Drosophila melanogaster: one gene and its partners. Changing the gene in region 3 together with the main gene of any one other region gives a genetic interaction. Each region holds a gene or a part of one and is shown on either strand. Other genes may lie near its edges.

Region 1 (3,737 bases), 950 kb from region 3:
AAGAAAACATTCCAATTCCCTTTGACTAATCTTAATCAAATATCATAGTATACTATAGATAACGCAAAATAACAATAACTGATCGGCATTATCATTGCGATTGTGGACAACTTTAAAGACCGAACATTTCAAGTATCTAAACTTGTTCAGTTCACGAAATCGACACTGTTGATCTCTGCAGACGTTGAGCTGTGCTGAGCCACGAGTTAAGGCAGCAGACAATCCGTTGCCTGCAGATTACAATTCCGACATATCTATAAACTGGAGATGTGGACAAATTTAAAGACCGAACACTTCTATGGAATGAACTTGTTCAGTTCACGAAATTGACACAGTTTCTATCCGCAGGTGTTGAGCTGATCTGTGTCAGAGTTTGAGCGCAGTCAATCCGTTGCCTGCAGAAGAAATAACCTTGTGGACAACTGACAAGAAGCCTCCAGTCCTGAATAATAGGCCAGGGCAATTACCAGCTGCCACAGCTGATCTTTGCAAGTGTTGAGATGTTCAGTCGCTGGAGAATCGCGGCAGACAATCCGTTTCTTGCAGGGATTAACGGAGGATTACCTAGAAGTAAGGGAGGACTCACATTGGCGCCGGACTTGAGCAGACGTAAGGCAGCCTGGACAGCCCAGTAGGCGGCGAGGATGACATCGGCCTGGCGACCACTGATCTTCTGATCCGCAGCAGCGCCTACCACAATTGTGTGAGCGGCCACGGCAATGAAACCATCAATGTGGGCACCCAGATCGCTGTAGAAAAGAAATGTTACGTATTTAGTGGCGGTATATGTGGAATAGGAGGTTCAACTTACATTTTGACCACATCACCGGCCTTTAACGTGTAGTCAGCATCGTTTTTGGCTGGCGAGAAGTGGCAGACACAGTTGTTGACGGACAGACAGGTGGGAAAGGCAATGCCCTTCTTCAGGTCTTTCTCCTTTTTGTATACCTGTTTGTGAAAGATCGATAAAAGCATTAGATTGCTTGTTCGTTGTACTATATATCAATGATAGTGCGCGGTGTGTCCTCAGATCTCATAATCTGTAAATCCTCGGGACCTTTTGGAGAGCACACAAGCCGGGCACGTGGAGCATTGGAGTCCCCGCGTGCGCCTGGCGACCACGAGGTGATCCCCAGCCCGCACAGCACATGGCTCGCCATCGGGAAACCCTCAAAGGTGTAAGTCTTAATCATTGGACATGAAATTGGCGCGAATGACCGCCAGGTGGCCACCACTTACTTTGCCGGTCTCCTCGGTGAGCTGATTGTCGCCCTGGGTGCAGATCTCCCGGACGGAGGCATCAACCACGCAGAGTCCAATTACCGCCTTGAGGGTTTCTAAAATTAAACGAGCAGACAGAGTCCAGAAATAGGCAGATTAACCAACGCGTGGCGCACAAGGGAAAGCGGCATTCGGTGCATTGTGTAAGCGCCACGTAGCAGCGACTCCAGGAATCGGCCAGCGTTCGCTGTTTCCGGCCAAGGAATACTCACTGTTGACGATTTCGCCGGCCAACTTATACTTGGTCACCACCAAATCCTCGGCGATGGTCTTCTCGGGCTCCTTTTCCACATCTGCCATTGTACTTGACTCTAATAATTTTAAAATGGCGACTTAATGAAAATGCGACCGACTGAAACACCACGAGGTAATGAACGTGTGGCCAGGCGCAGCGCAGGTATCGAAAGTTCCAGTGGCGTGTATGGTGGGACCGCTCATTCGCCTTGACAACCCTGGCAAATGGGCGGTAAGCTTAAGATGAGCGTGAAAGCGTAGATTGCTAGTCGTAAACACTGAATGAATTTTAAATAACACTTTGAGCTATATCAAATGAGAATATTTCATAGTTTTACATATTGTAATCCACTAATATTTCAATAAAAGTTTAAATATTAAGTTTCGGTTTTTTTCTATTACACATAAATGGTCCCTCTAAAAATAGGAAGTCAAAGAGCTCGAAATATCGATACCATCACAGTGTGACCGCTTGTGGAATACCGCATTCGGTATTTTTCTTAGCACGAATTTGGACTAAATGCATATTACAAGTCATCTTTAACAAAAAAAATTTGCATTGAACGTTAATAATAACATTTACTTGCTTAAATCCAATTCGGCTGCCGAAACAAAAGCTCAATTAATAGAAACCTAATCCTATCACCATGTCCGTGCGCGTGATCAACGACGAGTCCCACTTCCAGGCGGAGTTGGCCCAAGCGGGCATTCAATTGGTTGTGGTGGACTTCACAGCTTCGTGGTGTGGTCCCTGCAAGCGGATTGCGCCCATCTTCGAGACGTTTCCAACAAAGTACCCAAAGGCCATCTTCCTGAAAGTGGATGTGGACAAGTGCCAGGACACGGCTGCTGGACAGGGCGTTTCGGCCATGCCAACATTCATCTTCTACAGGAACAGGACCAAGATCGATCGCGTCCAGGGTGCGGACGTCAATGGGCTCGAGGCCAAGATCCAGGAGCACATCGGTACATCCGGTGGCGAGGAGGGGGGCGAGGATTACGGGCAGGGATTGGTAATATAGTGCAGTATTTGGAAATGTTCCAAAAATAATCCCTAATCCTTCTTACAGATGGAACTGAATACATTTATTTCGAAGCAGGAGTGCGAGTGCCTCAACGAAGCTGATGACCACAACTTAAAGCACGCCCTGGCCTCCGCCGGTGGCTACCTGCAGTCCGATTGCGATGAGCAGCTCATCCTGTCCATCACCTTTAATCAGGCTGTGAAGATCCACTCTTTGAAGTTCAAGGCACCTTCGCACCTGGGTCCCAAGGATGTGAAGCTGTTCATTAACCAGCCCCGCACGATTGACTTTGACATGGCCGAGTCCATGAACAGTGTGCAGGATCTAAGGTAGCTATTGCCTTCTCTATGGCTGCTTAGCTCTTCTCACTGTTCAATCCATTTTGCAGCCTGGCTCAGAAGGAGCTGGAGAGTGGAGTGCCCGTGAATCTGCGCTACGTCAAGTTCCAGAATGTGCAAAACATCCAAATCTTCGTGAAGAACAATCAGTCAGGTGGCGATGTGACGCAGATTGATTATATCGGCTTCATCGGTTCCCCCATCATGACCACCAAGATGAACGACTTCAAGCGAGTGGCTGGCAAGAAGGGCGAGAGCCACTAAGGTTCCATTGAAATTTTCAGCGTTTTTCCCCAATGACGTCCCAGCATTTCTTTTCAACTTTGGACTTACAACTAAACAATATACAACAAATGCATAAAAAATCATACAAAATAAGGATCAACAAGATAATCTAAATATCCATCGGGTTAAAGGCTGCTCTGGTAAGAGTCCAGTTCCTTGGTAAGCATTTTCCACGCACGCTCCGCCTGTTTCTGGGTGAATTCGTGATCCCATTGCGAACTGAATATCACATGCGACTTGGCCACGATCTCAGAATTGGGCACCTGACTGGCCAGTCGCTTTTGGGCCTCCACTTCGCTCAACTTGTTGCGCTCAATAATCCGCCGCACAGCCTCATCCGGTGGCACAATCATGGACCACACCTCATGGCAATTGGTCTCCCAGCCCGCTCGCAGCAGCACCGCTGCCTCCAGGACCACCACACGCGGCACGTCCGCCTGGGAACGCAGTGCATCCAGCCGCCTGTTAACCTCCGCAATAAGTTCCGGCCAGACAATGCCGTTGAGTGCTTGCAACTGCTTGGGATCGGCAAACACCAAGGGTCCCAGCTTGGACCGATCGATGCGACCATCGT
Region 2 (7,743 bases), on a different chromosome or scaffold from region 3:
AGAAAGCTTTCAACTCCAGTCACTCGCTGCACGAATCGTACTCGCTTTCGCTTTTCTTGATTTTCGTTTTGATGCCCGGCGTTCCGGGAGTTGTGGTTGTGGGTGATGGTAGCGTATTGTTGTTGTCAATAAGCGCAAAAGAGCTATTGCCTCCAATGGGTTTGTGGTAAGTGCTTGGTGGACTGTCCACACAATCGGACGAGGTGCACACACGTTCTTGTATAATGAGTTTCCACAAACGCACTTCGATGCCAACGCTGCAAAATACCAAAAGTTAGTTGAGCATGGATTAAGTGTACTTTTCTTATAAGCTTTAACGCACCGCAGACCCAGCCTCATGAGGTCCAGCTTTTCCATGTTATAGATAAAGTCGTCAAATGTAAAACCTTCATTCAGGATGAGCGTCTTTGAGAACTCGTCTATTTCCTGCTGGGTCAACCACTGCTCCAACTGCTCGTCTACTTCGTGAAGACCAAAGTGATGCTTGTTTAGCTGCCTCCGGGGATTGCCCGCTATATTCGGACGGACTCCGGACGTTCCGCCCACACTGGTACTCATTCTATGGCACTTTTTGTTAAAGCCGTTTATTGTGCGTCTGTTAAGATGAAATTGTGAATTATAATAAAATTTACAATGTCCTACTTGGTTTACCAACCTTAATCTCTTTCTGCCGCCCATGTAAATGTGAGCCAGCTCCTGACTGATATTATGCAGGGCCCTCATGCTCTGCCGCTGCTGCTCAAGGAGCTGGCGTTGCAGCTTCTGCTGATTGTCACGGATGTCTCTCAGGATGCGCGCGCACTCCATCGAACTGGACAGAGCATCCCCGCCCGATTCCGCAGGCGTTAATCCCACACCTTCGCGAGTGTTGCTCGTGGGAAGAACTTTTTCCAGGCTCTGCTTTTCCTGGCTCTCGGTGGAACCCTTCTGCATTAGACTTGTACGCAAGCTCTCATCATCATTTCCAGACAGGTCTTTGTCCGCCAGATTGGCGCCCAGTTCAGGAGAGAAAATAGTGACCGCCGCCTGGACGGCCCGCTTAACCAGATTATCCAATGCGAACATCCAATGGGGTTTGATGCAATGGTACCGCAGTACGCAGACCACGGCGTCCTGAAAGGAGTACAGCGCCAAATGAAGATGGTCCAGAGCAACTGCGTCGTTGTTCAGCTTTTGTTTCAGTTCGTTGATAGTCGCTTCCAAATGCTTTTCGTTTTCGTTCATAATGTAGTCCCGCAGTCCTCGGATTAGAACCTCCAAATCGCTTTTCCTAATCGCAATCGAGTTCTGATCAGCGTCGACCTTCTTCAGCCAAATATCGCAGATCTTGGATTCGTCTAGTGCCAGCACCTTGGAAAGCGTTGTCCGCCTCTGCGAATCCTTTTTAAGCCTGTAAAAACCGTCAGTCTCGCTCGTCTCACTAATGCTCGTACGCAAGGACGGCGTGGAAGGTTCAATCTCTGGCGAGAGCAAAAATCCATGGGAATTTCGCCGTTCAAGCATAAACTGGTTGCTGGGCAGCTCGTCAATGTCCACCGAGGATGAATGCGTTATGCTGAAATAGGAAACAGAAAGTACAATATAAAATTACGTTTATTTTACAATACATCAAGTGCTATCTCTTCTCAGTATCAAAATCCGAGTGCGCATTTTCCAATCATTAAATATGCACTTTACTGATAGCAACAATCAATGTGTTAACTACACGATAAGCAAAGGCACTTGTTACTCTTATAATAGTAGACGATATGGGAAAATATAGAGAAGCACGGAAAAATTTTTATATTCATTAAAATTAGCAAAATATAAATGATAATTTTCAACAGATAAGATAACCTCTGCTTGTAATTGAGGAAGGTCGAACATGATAAGAATAGTCGCAGCGTTTAACTTACTCCAATTCCGGCGTTGTGGGCGTATTGCAGGTTGTGTTGTAGCTCAGCGGCGGTGTGGTTTTGTGCACAAACCGATCAGCCGGCACCGAAATGCTGCGTCCGAACTCAGTATTGATGGGCAGGGCTGGGCGCACCTTGCGGGGTTTACTTATTGAGAAAATTAAAAGTGCAATTAGAAAGGAATTAGGCAAAACAATTAAGCAAACTCACTCTTGTAGGAAGGGATCTTCCAGAAGTTGCGAGGCGGAGGGTCGGTCCATCACGCTGATGGCAAAGCAACGCAAAATAAAGTTCTTTGCGTTGGCGGACAGCTCCTCGGGTATGTTCGGATGCTTCTTGTAAAAGCCCACCTTGAACATGGCCGCATGGGCGCTACCCAGCTCGATAAACGGTGGTTTGCCCGTAGCCATCTCAACGTTTGTGCATCCAAAGGACCAGATGTCAGCCGCCGGGCCATAGCCGCGTACTCCCTGGTCAATCACCTCCGGCGCCATGTACTGCAAGGTGCCCGTAAAGGTCTCCGTCATCGGGTTGATGCGGGCCAGCCGCTTGGAGGTGCCGAAATCGGAGATCTTAACCACGCCGCTATACGTGTTAACCAGCACGTTGTCACCCTTTATATCGCGATGAACAATGTCCTGCTCGTGAAGGTACTTCAGCCCCTCGAGGATCTGCTTGGAGTAGAAGGCCATGGTGGACTCGTTGTCCTTGAGCGGACCCCATTTGGTCTCTAAGAGGTCGGAAAGCGATCCTCCCGGCACCTGCTCCATGAAGATCTTGAAGAAGCCGTTCTCCGAGCACGATCCCAAATAGCGAACTATGTTGCGATGTCGCAGCTGAGAGTGTAACTTAATCTCCTCGTGCAGTGGCTGCACATCCTGCGAGTTCTTTTCCGGCACCTCCTTAATGGCGATTCGCACCTGCGTCTGCTTGTCCCTGGCGGCGTACACGGTGCCATAAGTACCTTTGCCCAGCACCATTTTGCGATTCTGCTCATCGTAGTCGTACTCGTACTACAATTAATAATAATTAGCAAAAGTGGCCGGAATATATGTATATATGAATAATAAATAACTTACCTCGATATTAGCGTCATCATTGCTGAGATTGACAAACACCACCTGATCTGCAGTCATCTCCAGGATCATATCGTAGAACTTTTGTCGTCGTTCAGTGGAGGGAAAATATATTTGAAAATCATCTGAGTTGTGATGGACGTACAAGTAGGCACAACGATCATCCCTCTTGTAAAGGCTGACGGACTTGATCTTCGATGCCACGAAAAGGAAGTCGTGGATTTTCTTACACGCATTCTTTGCGTGAGCCAAACAGATGTTCACAATCTGAATGGACTTCTCATCCGCATCCATGTTTATAGTCACATAACTGGGCATATAAATCTTCTGAGGCTCGAGGATCTGGAATTTGTTTTGAGTTAATAATAAAGCTTAAACTGCAGATCAGGGGTACCAACCAGAATCGGAAAGCGAATGCTGTTCTTAACCTCCTCGGTGTTGGTGGCCTCCAGAAAGAAGTCCATCCAGAACTGGAACACCTGCTCCTCGATGGGCGGCTGGCGTTCCTCGGGCTTCTTTCGAAATCGATGTATAAGAGAGATATTTCCGATGGTCGACTTCAGATACCAGTTGGGTGGCTTTAGCTTGAACATGCACTCGGCAGCTTGAATCGCCTTGGCGTAGTCGTTGGCCAAAACGGAGATCTCAAAGAAGGTGGCCACATCCCAATACTCACTCAGCGAGGATAGGCTGCCCTTTTTACCGATTAAATTGTTTAAGGTCATGCCGATGTGCTGCAACTCCTCCGTATTGGTAAACTCCTTGCCCTCGATAACCAGCAGAGTAGCCAGATTGATGCCTGCATACTCATTCGGCTGCACCTCAAAGCTTTGGCGGTACCACTTGATGGCGTGCGCCAAACTGGTGGCGTCCGTGTAGTCGGATTCCACAAAGATGTCCTTGTAGATGCGGCCGCACAGGCAGAGCATGTCCGGAAAGTGGTTCTCCTTCTTTTCCAGCGCCTTCAGCGAAGATTCCAGAGCCTTTTCACGGTCTCCCTTTCGATTTCTTCGGTTCAGGGCGAAGGCGTACAGGAAACTCATGTTGCCCGTCTCCACGTACTTCCGGGTGTTGGGTATGTTCTTCAGGTCATTGACCAGTCGCACCATGGCATCGTAGTCCTGCACATCCCTCAGCGAGCACATGAAACTGTGTACCACTTCGCCAGACAGGACATGCGGATCGTCCAGCCGCTTTCGCATCTCGTGCAATATACTCTGCAGCTTGGCGCCGTTGGTGGCGTACGTGTCCCGCGCCGTTCGCATGTCACTCAGAAATTTCTCACGCATGTGGGCTCTGTAAATAACCGAAAATAGCTTCGTTTAGTTTTTAGGTACACAAATAATGCATAATAGGAACAGTGTTTCGTGCTCTGGCTGAAAGACTAATTAACTTAGCATCTATCTGGTACACCAAATTTAAGATTTCAATTACTTTCATTTCATTACTTGTTAACCCGTAGTAGTATCACTAAAGTTCGAAGTAATTTAAATTGAAAGGACAATTATGATACTATAAAGAGACTTAAGAATTTTCAGCGATTATTGATATTTTATATGCAATTCCAAGGCCAACACAATAAATCGGTCTGATTCATTTTAGATGCAGGGCGTGACTTTTGCAGCCAATCTGCCGCAGGGGATGTTATAAATAGTGTTCCGATATGCAATCACCGTGCATGACTTACTGCAAAAGGGGACTCCCTAGATTGTACTCACTTCGACTGGATCTCAACATCTTGCAGCTTTCGCTTGAGGCGCCACTGCAAAGTGGGCACTCGTCCTTCGGCATTGGGTTCCTTGCTGTTGTTGCCGCTGTTGGGCTGGCTGGTCAGGTGGCAGGAATTGGTCTCCGCATTCCGCTTGTAGCTGAGAAACAGGTAGTTGGCACACGAGAGCTGCAAGGGGAGTAGAGTGTACCTAATTTAATGACCGCCACTGTGAATGCAGGCCACGCTGCGTTGGTGTACACCGTGCTGTTAGTGTGTGCGTGCCTCTTTGAGTGTTTGCGTGGGCGTGCTCGCATTTGTTATTGTTATTGCTGGGCCAATGCTTTTGTTGCTTTATGGCCGCAGCCAAAACAAAAATAACGAAAACGATTCGACGGAAATACAGTCGAACTTCCATAGTTCAAATTATTGGCTGCCATATGGGAAAGAGGTTTTAGTTATTAACCTCTGGAAAGAGGAAGTTTTTCGGTTTCTTTTGCAATTTGCTAAAGGAAGACTAGTAGATAGAATAATTTTTAGTCATTTTCCAGAAAGAGGTGTCTAAGCACCTAGGTTAGAGACTTGTTATAAACTCAGTTCGCGTTGTGGAAGCTCGACTGTAGAAAGATCAGCAAGAACAACTAGTCCAGGAGTCCACGCAGTTGCTGGTCATAGCATTTATCTTATCGGAAGCGGATTCCCGATCACGAACGCAGATGTTTGCCAGGCACGCCCGGCCAGGTAAACACTTCCGAACGCACCTTGAGACTGAGCGTCTGCTTGGAATCGATGTCGTTGTAGGTGAGGATGTTCTCCTTCATCCCGAAGCTCTCCCTAACGCCGTAGTGATAGGAAAGCGGCCGCTGCTGGGTGAGAATGCTCAGGTCGATAATGGCCACATCGGCGTTGTAAAACGTCTCCAGCACATTCGTCTCGCCGAAGTCCAGGCGCTCGAACTGCAAGGATGCCAAGTGGGGGGGATGTAAGTCAAATCACCCATATGCCATTGTATAACCAAGCTGGCGCACCTGAACCCGCTGAAAGTTGGCGCCCGCCGACTGCACTGCCTGCTTGATCTCCTCCAGCGCACACTGGCGGTCCTCCAGATGGTCGCCCACCGCCGTATCCATTACACACACCACATCCATCGCTGTTTCCATCGCAGCTATTCTTGGCACTTTTCTGCTCTTGGACGGATTTCGCGCACTTCACGCGATTTCTGCACTTTCTGGACGGCCGACACGCGCAGCTCAGTGGCAAAAACTCTCATTACCACGTTCCTGCTGCACTTGCATCGCGTTAATTACCGCGTAACGAATAATTATCAAATAAATAAAGAAACTTTTTGCTTTTGCTGTGTGACCGCTGCACAGCTACCAGCAATATACCGAATGAAGTCACAAAAATACCACACAAATATGCTAACCGACAAAGCCTTGCTGCAGTTTTGGCGCCAAGTTCCCATTTTTTTGAGTCATTTAAAATTTGGTTTAAAAGATATAATATAATTAGGCATATAAAATAATAAGCTTTGTTTATAAATATATTTTAAAAGCACTTAAGGTTCATTATTTTAATTAATTTACAAATATGCAACGTCTAAAAAGTAGTCAAGAGTTTCACTTATTTTACTTTACTTTTTGAACGAAGATTTATTGTTTTGCTAACTTTTTCTAAAGAATTAAAATGTTGTAGGTGTTTTTTTCATGTATTTCTATCTATTATAAACAATTATACAACTCAATAGAACTAGCAAAATAGTATATTAAAAACGTTCTTTATTAAACGAGACACAAGTAGTACGGATATATAACTTTGATCTTAACTAGCATATTCCTTTAGAATGGAGCCCGCGATCACCAGTCGCTGGATTTCGGAGGTGCCCTCGTAGATCTCAGTGATGCGGGCGTCCCTGTAATGACGCTCGGCCGCCATGTCGGTCACGTAGCCCATTCCGCCCAGGATCTGGATACACTGGTGGGAGCACAAGGTGGCCGCCTCCGAGGCAGCCAGCTTGGCCATTGCAGCTTCTTTGGTGTAGGGCTGCTTTTGGTCCTTCAGCCAGGCGGCGCGCCAGGTGAGCAGACGTGCCGACTCCATGGCCAACGACATGTCCGCGATCTTTTGCTGGATGGACTGGAGCTTGGCAATGGGCTTGCCGAAGGCCTGTCGCTTCTGGGCGTAGTCCACGGCCAATTCGAGGGCAGCCTGACCAATGCCCAGCGCCTGGCCAGCGATTCCTATGCGGCCGGCGTCCAGCGTCTGCATGGCAATCTTGAAACCGAAACCCGGCTCGCCCAGCATGTTCTCCTTGGGCACCACGCAGTCCTCGAAAATTAGCTGGCACGTCGAAGATCCCCGGATGCCCAGCTTATCCTCCTTTTTGCCCAGCGAGAAGCCCTTGGTAGCCTTGGGCACAATGAATGCGGAGATGCCCTTGTGCTTCAGCTGCTTGTTGGTGGTGGCGAACACAATGGCTGCCTCCGCCTCGAAGGCATTTGTGATCCAGGCCTTGGTGCCATTCAGCACGAAGTGATCTCCCTTGTCGGTTGCTATGGTGGAAGCAGCTCCAGCATCGGATCCGTTTCCAGGTTCAGAGAGCGCGAAGCAGCCCACTCGTTCGCCGGTGGTAAACGGTGTGATGTAGTCCTTCTTCTGGGCATCGTTTCCGAAAGAGAGAAGCGGTCCCAGATACAGGGAGTTGTTCACCGACATGATGACGCCAGCAGAGGCACAGCCCCTTGAGATTTCCTCCATGGCAATGGCGTAGGCCACATAATCCAGTCCAGTGCCGCCTGATTAACAATAAAGAGATACAATGAGATACTATAAGGAGGGCTGAGGTGGGCGTAATATTAATTACCCAGCTCCTCGGGAATCGCTACTGCCATCACGCCCAGTTCGCCCATCTGGCGGATCTGTTTCTCTGGATACAGGTGCTCCCGATCGAACTTGGCTGCGTTTCCACTGAGCTCATTGTTGGCAAAGTCCCGGCAGGACTTCTGCAGCATCTGGTGCGTCTCCGAAAGCGCCGACAATGAGGCAATTTGACGAGCATTTAAAG
Region 3 (7,765 bases):
CCAACGAAGCCTGGCTTGGGGACCAACTGCGCTTTAAGTTGATTATATATATAGATTTATGTGCGAATATAATTAGTAATTAGTTTGGCTAATTGCTTGCAGAAATGTTAACACTTGGTTGGCTTTCGATCCAATTGCAACTACAATACATCGAACAATAACAATAAAATTCCATGCTACGTTAACTATAAATATGTAATATTCTTGATCCCAATGTTTTACTTTGTTTACTTTGAAATATTTTGATTTTAATTACTTTATAATAATACATATGTATTGGTCCAAGGTTTTTCGTTATTTTATATAATTTCATCAAATTTGTGAAATATTTTCTACATAGCTCGATTTTAGTTCACATGAGATTCACTTCTTCTCACCCATAAATATATTTATCATATTCCTCGATTCTACTCATTAATTTTAAATAAATATTCCATTTTGATGTCATAAAATGTTCCCTAAACAGATTCAGACTTTAGAGTTTCGAATTGCCAAAGAAGATAATCAAATGAAAAAACCAAAGAGTAATTATTTTTCAATTGCATTTTTAATTTTATTAATACACAAAACTTAAATAAAATAATAATGTTTAAACTCTACATACCTACAATACAATACGTAATAGTCATAAGTATAATAATAGATAATAATAATAATAGTACACAATAGTAATATTGTCGTTTACAGTTATTGTACAATGTAAGAAAATTCTGTTTTGTTTTCCATTTCATTTTTTATCTTTTCCGTTTTTTTTTTTGTTTGTTTTCCATTTGTTCCTTGCTCGATTGTTGTATCTATATCATTTTTGTTTAGAAATACTCTCTCTAAATGAAGCTTCCTATACCGGGAATACTATATCGCGTGTCTATATAGTCTAGGTAAATATTGTGAGAGGCAAAATGAAGATAATAATAATACAAAAACAATTTTTGTCTGAGTATACAATCGGTTTTTGTGTGGTACTTTGCCTACTAAGTGCGGATGTATCTGAACTTTGCTTTCCCAGCTTTTCACTTCACTTAATTCGCTTTGCTTTGCTTGGCTTGGCTTGGCTTTGTTTTCACATCACTTAAACGTCTAAAGATTTTTTGGTCCAATAATAGTTGCGGTGATAAATATGCAGGTTGGGTGGTGTATCGGGTGATCAACAAATAAATATGCTTGATTTTTGTGTTTTTTACCATGTGCGCGATTCGACAATTACAACTTTTCGATGACAATTAAATAAAAATTAAACAAAAAACAATAAACAAAAAATAAAAAATAATGCGCGATGCCTTAATTTTGGTTTAAGGATTACGTGTACGAGGGATTGTGCGGTATGTCAATTTAAAATTAATTTGTATAAATGAGACCGTTGCACCTGTATGTGTATGTTTGGGTGGTGGGGGTGGCTGGTGTTTTTTTGGGCGATGTTTTTGGGTGCTTCTATATATCATACATATATCTCCCCCCCATCCACTTAGAACGGGCGTCGCAACTTGGAGATGGCGTTGGTCAGATGCAAAATCTCCGTGTTCATCTGGTGCACCAGAGTCTCCAGCTTGTCGACGGAGTCCAGCACCTCGACGCGCTCGGTGTGCGGGTTGAAACGCACCTCGAATGGACGCGACATGGTGCTCACCCAGCGACGGAACTTGTCCTTGGCATCCTCGAAGCTCTCGGCCACATAGTAGATGGGCTGGTACTCCTGATCCTGGTAGGGCTGCACGGCGGTGGATGCGGGCTCGAAGGCGCGGTGCTCGCACTTGTCGCTGATGGCATGGAGCAGCTCACCGTAGGAGCTCAGGAGTCCAGCACCGTAGGCCTTGATCTGACCATGTTCCTTGCAGAGACCGAACTCAACAGTGAACCAGTATACCTGTAGAAATGAAATGGTAAGGAACCAATGAGTAAATAGGAAGGAAAATAAAAGCAAAGGCAGATAATGCAGGAAGTTGTATGACTTATAAGATCAAGGTTTTCTGAACTTAAAAACTTATTTAAAATCACAATTAAGTGTTTTGAAATGCATTAAATTGTATCTGTAAACTATATGAATAAAAAGAAAAAAATTATTCTGGCATTGAAGTTCACTTTTCCTCTTCGACTTTGACAGTGACTAAACAATGATCTTGGTTGCGAAAAAAAACTAGCTGCGTCATAGCTGCACTTGAGTCTAAGGTCGTTACATTGCAACTCAATTAGAAAATCAACTCACCGTGGACAGCTTCTCGATTTCTTCGTCGGAGGCACCCAGCGAGGCCAGTCCAATCTCCTGCGAGAACTGGGCGAAGCTGGGATCGGCCAGCAGGGGCATGTGACCCAGCAGCTCGTGAATGGAGTCGCTGTAATGGCATAGAATAATGCTTGTTAAAAGTGTGGAAAATGTGCTGGCATAAGGCAATTAGTCTGGTTAAATGAGCTGGGCAGCCTGCCGCAGTTCCTGTAGCCAATTTGCCTGTGTTCCAGGCGACAAAAGTTGCTTGGGAAAAGCGGAAAAGGAAACCCAACCACCCACACACACACAGAGGCAGGCGGCAGGCAGGCAGGCAAATGCAATTAGGCTAGGACAAAGAGCCTTTTTCTCCCCTTTTTGAAGTGATTTTAACCCCCTAGTAAAATATGATGATAGATACTTACGGCTCGGGGGTGTGGTATGGTGAGTTAACGTGGCGCACATACTGGGTGCTCTGGAAGATGCGGAAGGCCAAGGAGGCAAGGAAGTCCCGGGCAGTCAAAAGACCGGCGGCAGGACGGAGAGAGAATCCGGTGTTCTTGCGCAGAAAGTCGGACATCTCCTGCAACTGGGGCAGACGGGTCTCCACGAAGATCTGCTCATCCTGGAGCTTCTGGAAGGCGGCCCGGTACTCGGCACAGGCGTGCTTGGGAGCCAGATCCTGAACGGTCTTGAACACCGAGCGCCAGGTCTTGACCTCCACATCGGAGTAGTCGATGAATGGGATCGGGTCTCCGTACTTGTAGGCGAATGCGATCTCGGCAATTTCCTTGCGACGCTGGCGGTATACCTTGTCGGCGAATCCGGGGTGGTTCATGTCCAAATCGGGCTCGTACTTGGTCATCAGATGGTTGCAGTTATCCAATTCGGAGGCGTGCTTGGGGAACCACGGAGCCTTGACATTCAAGTTATTGTCGGCCATCAGATTCATGCTGCTGAAGGAGCCCGACTGCCTGAGGGAGCGGATCAGCTGCAGCAGATTGCCACGGGTCATGTCCAACTTGATGAGGACATCGTGGTCCACGCCCTCCACGCGCGACTGACGGGACTCCACATGCTGGACGGTGCCGTGGAAGGTTTCGATGGCCTTGAGGATGCGACCCAAGGAGGAGATGCCCTCCTTGAGGCGGACCACCAAAGCGGCACTCTGCATGGCAGCCTCGGCATCCGAGGATTCGGAGGCGGCATTGGCCAACAAAATCTCGTCCTCGGTGAGACCGTAATCTGCAAAAGGGCCAAAAAAAAGCGGGGATAATGTGATGGTTAAGGATGCAATCTTCCAAGGCTTAGGGTCACGTAAACGATAAGCGAGCTACGTGGCAGTGGCAGTGAGACGGTTGCCAGGCAAACGCATTTCGTACTTGTATTAAGTCGAGCGTAACAAATGAAAAAGGGAAATGCGACATTTCCACAGAGAGAGAGAGAGAGAGAGAGAGAGCGAGCGAGCGCGCCCACTCACAATTGTCCGTGTGGCTGAGTGCTTTTCCTCTGCCCTGGCACTTTATCATATTAAGCACTTAAATCAATGTCGCACGCTTTTCAAAAGCCCCTCTCAGAAGTTAAGTACTACTTATGGTTGGCTGCTGGATTCTAGAACCCCCTGCTCACCGTTCTTGGTCGGCTGTTGGTTGCCTTCTGGCTCCTGCGACTGCGACTCCGACTGCTCCTGTTCAACGCTCTCAAACTCAACATCCTCCTCAACTAAAAGCGAATGAAATAAAAATAATAATAAAGCCCATGAAAATCATAATCAAAATCAAATCAAAGATAATAGGCTCAGAAAGAGGAGTAACTGGCATGGGAATTGAAATGGAAATGGATATTAACCTGGAACATATTCCTCCAAGGGCAGGTTCTCCAGATTGGCATGCTCGTCCTGGAGCTCCACATCTTGCTCGGAGGGAATGTGCTCCTGAGCCTGCACAATGCAATCTTCCAGGGAATCGTCTTTAAAATCATAAAAATAAAAACGAAGGCAAATAATAAATAAAGGGTTAAAATGAATAAGAAAAAAACGCAAATCTATGTCAAAACGAATAAAATGAAATAAAAATTGCAACTTTTTAAGTTTTTAATCAACAAGTAAAGCCCTAGCTGCAAAATTTCCCTTTTGATCCCAAATAGAAACCCTCTTTGGAGCTATTTTAGTGACCCACTTGTTGGACCCTATCCACTTACCATTTGCCTTGCTGCGGGCCTCCTCGAGGACGGTTTGTTTGGTCTGCTTGACCACCAGGGTCTCGAAACGGGCATCATCCACCAGGCTGCGACGGCGGGATGGATAGCCATTCTGGAAACGAAAGCGAAAAGATTGAAGTCCGTGTTAGTGACACTGGCAGGATGTGGAGCGGAAATTAGACGATTGCCTTGACCTTCAAGCCAGGGTGGCTTTCTTCGGCTCCACGCTTGGGTGGTGACTTTGAGCAGAGTATTGCGCAATTTTGAAAATATTATATAAAATGGTGTGTGAAAGCGCCGTCTTCAGATCTTTTTCTTTGAATAAAGCTGGCTATTCATGGAACTGTATTGATTGTGATTCAAAGCCACGAATGGTAATTTAATGCGATGTCGCCGCTTCGAAGCGGGCAGGTGCGAAGATAAATGATATGTGACTGAGAAATCGAAAATCCCCATGCGATTCTGGCGGGAAAAAAATGCAACTGGCGATCGTTAAAGGTTTTTTTTCTTTCTTTTTCTTGATGGGGGGAAAAAGGTTTCCATCACTTGCAGTTTTCACTGTCAGCTCGTTTTTTTTTTTTTTTGTTTGTTTGTTTTCTTCAGTTTTTTTTTTTGGGCCACCGCTTTGGCTGATGAAAGATGACCAACTCATTGAATCATTTATATTGATTTCATATTTTTTGTTTTGCTCGGACGCAGCATAAACATAAACAGAGACGAGTCAACAACAATGAGGCGCGACTGTTTCGGCCAGGCTAAGTGCATGGGGCCCAAAGGCAGCCACTTTCACTTATTTGTTAAATAATAACTTAACACACAACCCGTTGTGTCCGTTGGCGATTTGGGCCTTTCGATTTGGGCCGCCTGTTCTTAGAGGTGTGACTTAATGGCCAACCGAGGATTGAGTTTGGTCAAATTGAATTGGCGAAAAAGAAATGCGGGATCACAAAAATGGGCTCGACTACTGGCCGGTTAACTGGTTTTTTTTTGAAAACACAAAACCTTTAGATAGTCACGTAGACCAAATCTAGTCACTCATTTGCTTCTTTTTTTTTACAATTCGATTTGGAAATTGTATGTTTTGCTGGATTTTCGACTCACCTCAATACTGTAGGATTTCTTGATGGCGAACATCTCGCGGTTCTTTTGGGCTGCTGCAACGGCCATCATTTTTTTTTGTGTGTTTGGGTTGTTTTCGTTTGGGGTGAACAACAAAAATTTACGCAAAGTGTTGGCAAAAACACTTAGAATACTATTTGCTTATGTGCTTGGTTACGCTTTTCTTGTTTGATTTGCAATAAGCACTCGAAATGTGTTGACACTTTCACTGCTTATTGGCGATCTGGCTGGGTGGTTTTGTTTTTCAAGAAAATCGCTCCTGGTACTGAACTGTTTGCGTCTAGAATTGAGCTGGACAAGAACTCTCGACTCTCGAATTCACGGCGGGATATATAGATGGTTGATCGGTTGAACTTTAGCTGGATCCTTTCGCGAACTCGAAACTGATGTGGTGATGTGTATTATCCTTGTCAGCTAAATTGTATTACAACAAACAGAGTCAGCAAACTACTTGAGGCTGGGCACAAGTCTTTAGGGCGAATGATAGCGAATCAATGCATGCTTCATGTCGAGTTGCCGCCGCTTAAATACCCCCAGATTCCGATTCCGACGGCCAAGTTAACGAACGTTTCGGCCGATTGCCGACGATTGTTTGCTTCACCAAACGACGATGACTGGTTTTCGCATGACGCGACTGTGACGTAGTTGCCCAGCTGTAGCTGGGTTAAAGCCAAGATGCCGATGCCGTGGGGTTTCCTCTCACCAGCCAGCTAACCAGCTAGCCAGCCAGCTGAGTGGGTCGAGAATCGCGGGGCCTGACTCGACTCAACTTGGTCGACCAAGTTCAAGTGCGGCAACAGGCTAGAACGTCGCATTGGCCATGTTTTTGTTGCTCTTGTAGCTTGGCTAAAAAGCGGGGTTAACCATTAGCGCGTGCGCGTCAATCGGAATGGTGGTAGAATACCCCAAAAGTATTCAGTCAGTCGAACGGGAGTCATTTGAAAAGCCTCAACAGGTCATACAGAAAAAACCAAAACAAATCCAAACAAAGCGAAGCTAGTCCATGCCAAATGTTAAGCATACGCCGTGTGTGCACAGAGCAAAATAATGAAAATATATGACATTCTTACTCTGTAAGTTGTTTTAGGGAAATGTTTTTAACCACTAGAATTATTTTAAAGAAGTAGGTTAAAATTATTAAGAATGTTTTAGACAATAAAAGCACCTTACGTTTATGATACGTTCCATTTTTCTAGGTGTAACAACAGTCGAAGATCTCGTTCAGTTTTAGAACCCAGCAATTCGCATTAGATCCTGAATGACTCAATCGAATCGCGTCAGAACTAGAGCGGATGCTGAAGCGGATCGTATAGGGACCAAGTGAAAGTGAGCTGGAAAACAAAGTAATGGTAAACAGGAAGTACGGATCACATGGCTGCGTGCGTGCCCGAGATGTAAGTAGGTGGCACCCAGCCATATCGATTAAATTTTAAAAGCACATTTAACAACTAATTTGCATGCGTAAATGTAGCACATTAAACTAAGCCCGGGCGATAAGTACAGGCACATTACAATATCTATGGCATAATTGAAAGCCCCGTCAAAACATCTGGCGATTGGGATTTGCATATGGCAGCTGACGGATTACGAGACCGACCATATAGCAATCTATATAAATAATTATATATATATTCCTGTCCTGTAAGCTGATAACGTTGGCAAGGCTGCCGCCGCTTCTCAAATTGGACTCGGGCCGCCAATTCGAATGACATTTTCAGTGGCAGTGGCAGTGGCAGCATTATTTTCAATCGTGTTAGCTTTTAACCAAATTCAGTTAGCGGCGATGTCGAGATCGAAGCAAATTTGCCATTGATCTACATATGTGCACTTGTACTTGCCAACAATCCGGTCATCCTTGCAGCCTGCATCTAGCAACTAACTAACTAACTAATGCCGATGTTAATGCGGACCGTTCAAATTAGTAGATCGAATCGTTTGATTGAGCTAACGAGCCCGATAATGAGCTAACACATCACATATACGTCTATTTGCTTCGATCCGCATTAAGTTATTAAGGCATCTGGAGTAGCAAAAACATAATTATCGATCTGATAGATCCATTATACAAATTGGATCGATAGAGTGGGATTGGTGAGTTAATAAGTTTGTGGGAGCTAGGAAATACATTTGACAACATCGAAAAGCTTTTTACTTAGAATATCGAGGGTAATAATTAATAAATAGCACTTACTGGAAATAACTTAAATTATTTAAAAAATATAATACTATCCAACTAGCAGTAAACTGCGT
Region 4 (4,932 bases), on a different chromosome or scaffold from region 3:
ATGTGGCATAATATGGGAAATGTGATGGATGGAAAGCAAAGATAATCAAAATGGCAAGCCAACAAGTTTGCCGGCAAAAAGAGTTTCAGCTTTAAGTGACGAAGTCTCACACTGAAAGGTGCATTGCACTTTAAGTGCCGAAGTGCTCTTCGTCATTAGGATTTTATGGACACCTTTTTGTGCATAACAGCGATAATTTATTGCACAAGAATCCAGTTTTGTGATTTCCTTCATTGTACATGAGTACAGTGCGATGAAATCACTTATTTCATTTGAATGGTTCTTTACATTTGTACCCAGTTTGTAATATTATATATTTTTATTTAGAATAAGTGACAAATAAGTACCGATAATACTTTAATGTTGCCAAATAGTAGACAATATTGTAAATCACTTAGCTCAACTAAAGACCATCAATAATTAAAAAGATAATTATGATTATAAATCTTAGCTTTCTAATAACCAAACCCCTACAAACTCCTTCTATATATCATTCTGCAAACCTGGTTCATAACAACAAAACGCATTTAAAGTAATATTGTATAATTATAGTTCAATTTGCACATTTAAGCACTCTTTCGCTCTAAGAGCTCCAGTTGGTTAGCTCATGGATATTGGATTCTGCTGGCGCATTACCGCTTGTCATCATCCCATTTCCGAATCATTTCCCCTTAAATTATGGAAATGAATCGAACCAGGTCGGGTTAAACACAGATACGAGTATGTGAGCAGCTTCAAGCGATGGAGGAATGGTCGGAAATGAGCAGGTAATTGCATTTGGCCACCGACTTACCCGATTCTCGATGAGCTTGTCGCACACATTGAAGACCGTCTTGATGGGATTCTTGTCCATGCGGATGGTTTTGTCGTAGTAGGTGACCTTCCGCGGCACATACTGCTGATCGAAGTTGAGGTGCTGCGGTTGGATGGGAAAGCGTGATTATCGCATTCGGATTAGTGGAGCATCCAGTTAGTCAATGGGCTTGCCTTTATTGTGGTGCTAAAGTGCTCCTCGCTGTCGGAATTGCTCAGTACGCCGCCAATGTTGTACGTCGAGGGATTATCCGAGGCAGTGTGCCTCTGGGCGGCATCAATTGGCGCCACCAGGAGAACAATGGCGAGCCCAAACAATGGCCGGCAAAAAACAAACTCAGCCATAGCCATGATGCGGAAGTCTATAGTTTCTGGGGGAGGATAAACGAGGTGTTTTGTGCAACGATTTCAATGGTTTCTCGAGCAAACATCCAGCATTTTCTGCAAGTCGAAAAGGGGAGATGCCGCATATTAATGGCATTTTCCATTTCCCATTGCAGCAATGAGAATGGTCAAAGACAAGATTTCTTAAAGTTTATTTTGCTCATTTTTGAAAAAGCAGAACTTTGAATTCGCGGTGTTTTCTTACATATGTGGTAATGCCAGATCGCGAAAAAATGAATACCAACGCAAGATCGTTAGAGTGACCATTTCATTGTGTTAATAGGCATTAGAAGCAAAATCTAAGTATGTGAGTCGATGAGTGGAAAGATTTTAATCCTCGGCCAATCTATCAACATTGATCTGGAATTTTCAAGCACAGATGACTAAAAAACTATGAATATTTGAATAAGATTCAAATCTCTACCCTGTGCTGCCATGCTAACTAGTATTTAGAGTATGTTAGTATTTTATCCATGCGCTCCCATCTAATTTATCATATGGTTGGTTCTGCGGTTTTCAAACACTTGCTTATGTCATTCCTTGTCAATAGTAAATGCAATTAACGTGTTACTGTCAATAATTCTATATATGTGTGCATAAAACAGTTAAGATGTCAATTACACCATTTATTAACGGCTAACTAGTATTTTTCGCGCGGTCACACTAATCGATCATATGGTTCGACGGTTTTTAAACACTTGTTGCTCGACCGCGCTTTCAGTCGGACGTGTTTTCGCTGGGGTTTTCCGCGTCGGTCCGCCTTATCTGCGCTGCGCTGGCACTTCGTTGGAGTGAGGGAGACGGAGGAGCTGAGCGGTACGGTACACGAAGTCGCGCATGACGCGGCGCTCTGGAAAATTGCATTTTCATACGCCTTGAGCGCGTAATTTATGCCCGAAATGCTGGCCAATTTCAATTTGTTGGCCTAAACGCGACGTGCGTGTGTGGGTGTGTGTGCGTGATTGGGAAAAGTGCGTAGAAATCGACAATCGTTTTGTTTGCCCGCGCTGCTGCTGCGCTGCGACTGCGCTGCTTGTGGGTGGTCAACGGGATCGTGGGGTCGGGAGAGCCGATTGTTGACGTTGTATCGCATGCTGCCTCTCTTTCCCGCAGCCGGAATTGTTTGTCGCGTGTTTTAACGGTTATTTCTTATTGACAAAACCTCCTCTGCCGACGTCGCTGCCCCGGCATTGTTATTGTTATTGTGTGTGGTTTCTGGGCCTTCTTCTTCCTCCTCACCGTATTCCCACTTATTGTTATTCTCTCTTTTCCGCGGCTAAGTGCGGCCCACTCAAGGTGAAAATATATTAAGTTCTTTCGAGTGCCCGCGAGTGTTTGCATTTGAATAAAATAAATATAAAGTCAAATTCGATTTACGATCGTCGTCTATCGACGGATGATTCAATACCAATCACAATACAGTAGCACATCTCTACAAGGGATATTTTACATTACATACATTCTACGGTGAGTATCCCACGACAACGACAACGACAACCTGTTGCCAATCGAGCCCAGTTACTGGTTTTTCTGGTTTCCCGAAGGGCTTGCCACCAATTTAAGTAGGTCATAAGGCAATAAGCCTATCACGACCGAACCGATAGGCTAATTACCGCGATAGCTATTATCTAGCAGTCACGCCCTCGCCTTTTGATCCCACTTGATTTTGATTTCGTTCTTGCCTCTTGCTTTCGCTCAATAATTGACAATAAGCCAAAGCGAAAGGGCCAGAAATGCGCTGAGATTCAATTACGTTGCAGTGGCCACTATTTGTTGCTTACACGAATAGAAAAGCTAAGGAAAAAACATATAAATCCCACTGATTGAAGACATTTGCTTATCGGGGGTATGGTTCTATGCCAGCTACTCAAACAAAATATAAATAAATCCTTAGGGAATCAACTCCGAAGTCAAGTGTTGATTTCAACTCAAGCCACTATGTATATGAACGTGATGCTTTCCAAAATTGTTTTGTGGTGAGAGGGATTGTTTGTTGTTATACAAAAATTCTTCAAATGGGAGTGTTTAAGAATTATAATGACGAAGTAACATAGTCATAATTAAAACTCGTATTTACTCGTAGAGTGAAAGGGTATACCGGATACATATATTATTGATCAGATCGAGATTTCGGGATCTATAAAATCTAGATGTGCAAGTTTAATTCACAACGTCCGCGCCCACTCTAACGCCCACAAACCGTTCAAAACAGTCACGCCCACAGTTTCGAGAAAAGTTTGGATTTTTTTAATCCTAATATTTCTTTGTCAGTTCCTAAAGTTATGCAAATCACTTTTGGAAATTTCTCACTTGACGTCCTCTGAACTGAATGCATCTGCGTTCGAGAAAATCAACTTAGCGCCGATATTTTCTCTCAGTGCACACATCTTGATTGCAGACAGCGGAAAAGAGAGAGAGAGCGAAAGGGAGAGAGAGAAAGAGAGATGCTGACTGGGCGACGCGTGCTTAATTAAGCGCCACATTGTTGTTGGTGTTGACTGGGCAGGTGGCGAGCTATAGAGTAAGAGGCAAGATGAGGGATACCAAAAAAGATGGGGGAGGGGGATGAAAAGTGGACGTGTTGAGCCTGCTGCACGCGATGATTTCCATTACCTGGGGTAAAAAAATGGCTTTTCATCGCCAAATTCCTCTCTGGCCAAGTTTTTTTGTTGCGATTGAAAGAGCGCACTTCACTACTTCTTGATTTGCATGTAATCATGATTGGGTTAATGGGCCTATGATCACACAATTACGATCAATTATATTCACATTATAATGTCGAACAAATTACTAAATTATACAATCAATGGGACCAATAGATAGTATGTGCAGTGAGTTTCATTTATTGAAGATAACCAGTCAATTGAGATGTCATTTGCGGGTACTTTGATCAACCGGCTAGAAAATGTACATATATATTCTAATTTTTAAACGCTAGTTCGGTATAGTATTAAAATTTTTTTGATTATTATGTTTTTGTGCAATTATATATGTATATTTAAAAAAAAAAGTTGGAACTTGACAACTATTTTCTCTTTAACCACGATTCAGATGTCATCAATTTTAATATAAAGAGTTAAAAAATTCACAATTTGTTTTTGTTATTCTCTCAGAATCCCTCAACTGTAGTTGATAATTCTCCAAAAGTTGTCGTATAATTGCATTTGACATACTGATAACGTTTGTGCATGATTTTTAATCAATAAATTTTACCAACCAGCCAAATTTGTTCAGTTTTGCCACTTGTCACCATTTAAACAAACTGACCACAAAGATATTACATTAAATAAATAAAACACATTGAAGATTCTCAGGTATGCTTATTTTTTTGACCACAATCGTGTGTTTGCTCCAATTTATGTGGGCTTGCCATGAGCATGTGCATAATTCGAAGCTGAATTGAGCAGCTGGTGGGGATTTTGTGGAAGGGGGGGCGGTAAAGTGGCCGGGGTTGGCGCCTGGGAGCGCCAGCAATTAACATAAACAGGCAAATTGTGTAAGCGACATTCTGGAGCTGCAAATAAAATATAAGCGCCCGCCCCCCGCCCATCCGATGTGCACAGCCCACTTGGCTGCAATTATTAAGGGTGTGTGTGTGTTTGTTCGGATGCGGAGGTCGGGTGTTATCAATGAAGCAGACTGGATGAGAAGCAAAGTGTTCTCATCAGCGCCAGTCTGGTGTGATTGTGTGAGTATCTGTGTGCTTCACGTTTTTTCTGCTCAGGTGGGCCGAGG

The links.
Region 1: of ple (region 3) and Txl, changing one suppresses a phenotype caused by changing the other (phenotypic suppression), as found in Drosophila melanogaster (one study listed by BioGRID).
Region 2: of ple (region 3) and Ask1, changing one suppresses a phenotype caused by changing the other (phenotypic suppression), as found in Drosophila melanogaster (one study listed by BioGRID).
Region 4: of ple (region 3) and Itpr, changing one suppresses a phenotype caused by changing the other (phenotypic suppression), as found in Drosophila melanogaster (one study listed by BioGRID).

The regions. Positions count from the first base shown.
Region 1 is NT_037436.4:5,763,848-5,767,584, forward strand, and holds Txl (Thioredoxin-like), read left to right. Parts: upstream 1-1,998; 5' UTR 1,999-2,162; coding exon 2,163-2,528; intron 2,529-2,585; coding exon 2,586-2,869; intron 2,870-2,928; coding exon 2,929-3,142; 3' UTR 3,143-3,237; downstream 3,238-3,737. Other genes in the region: CG10576 (uncharacterized protein), read right to left, coding at 587-749, 812-948, 1,240-1,337, 1,494-1,581; Ppat-Dpck (bifunctional phosphopantetheine adenylyltransferase - Dephospho-CoA kinase), read right to left, coding at 3,289-3,737.
Region 2 is NT_033777.3:19,878,008-19,885,750, reverse strand, and holds the start of Ask1 (apoptotic signal-regulating kinase 1), read right to left. Parts: upstream 6,033-7,743; 5' UTR 5,828-6,032; coding exon 5,708-5,827; intron 5,636-5,707; coding exon 5,441-5,635; exon of another isoform or gene 4,869-5,440; coding exon 4,690-4,868; intron 4,268-4,689; coding exon 3,370-4,267; intron 3,314-3,369; coding exon 2,975-3,313; intron 2,909-2,974; coding exon 2,106-2,908; intron 2,043-2,105; coding exon 1,896-2,042; intron 1,556-1,895; coding exon 656-1,555; intron 596-655; coding exon 323-595; intron 258-322; coding exon 20-257; 3' UTR 1-19. Other genes in the region: Arc42 (Activator-recruited cofactor subunit 42), read right to left, coding at 6,501-7,474, 7,543-7,743.
Region 3 is NT_037436.4:6,713,508-6,721,272, forward strand, and holds the start of ple (pale), read right to left. Parts: upstream 6,019-7,765; 5' UTR 5,567-6,018; coding exon 5,498-5,566; intron 4,509-5,497; coding exon 4,397-4,508; intron 4,166-4,396; coding exon 4,046-4,165; intron 3,920-4,045; coding exon 3,827-3,919; intron 3,443-3,826; coding exon 2,623-3,442; intron 2,328-2,622; coding exon 2,201-2,327; intron 1,862-2,200; coding exon 1,463-1,861; 3' UTR 1-1,462. UniProt on the Drosophila melanogaster protein: Plays an important role in the physiology of adrenergic neurons.
Region 4 is NT_033777.3:5,515,225-5,520,156, forward strand, and holds the start of Itpr (inositol 1,4,5,-trisphosphate receptor), read left to right. Parts: upstream 1-1,892; 5' UTR 1,893-2,664; intron 2,665-4,932. Other genes in the region: Nmdar1 (NMDA receptor 1), read right to left, coding at 794-916, 988-1,164. UniProt on the Drosophila melanogaster protein: Receptor for inositol 1,4,5-trisphosphate, a second messenger that mediates the release of intracellular calcium. Together with MCU, has a role in oxidative stress-induced ER-mitochondria calcium transfer.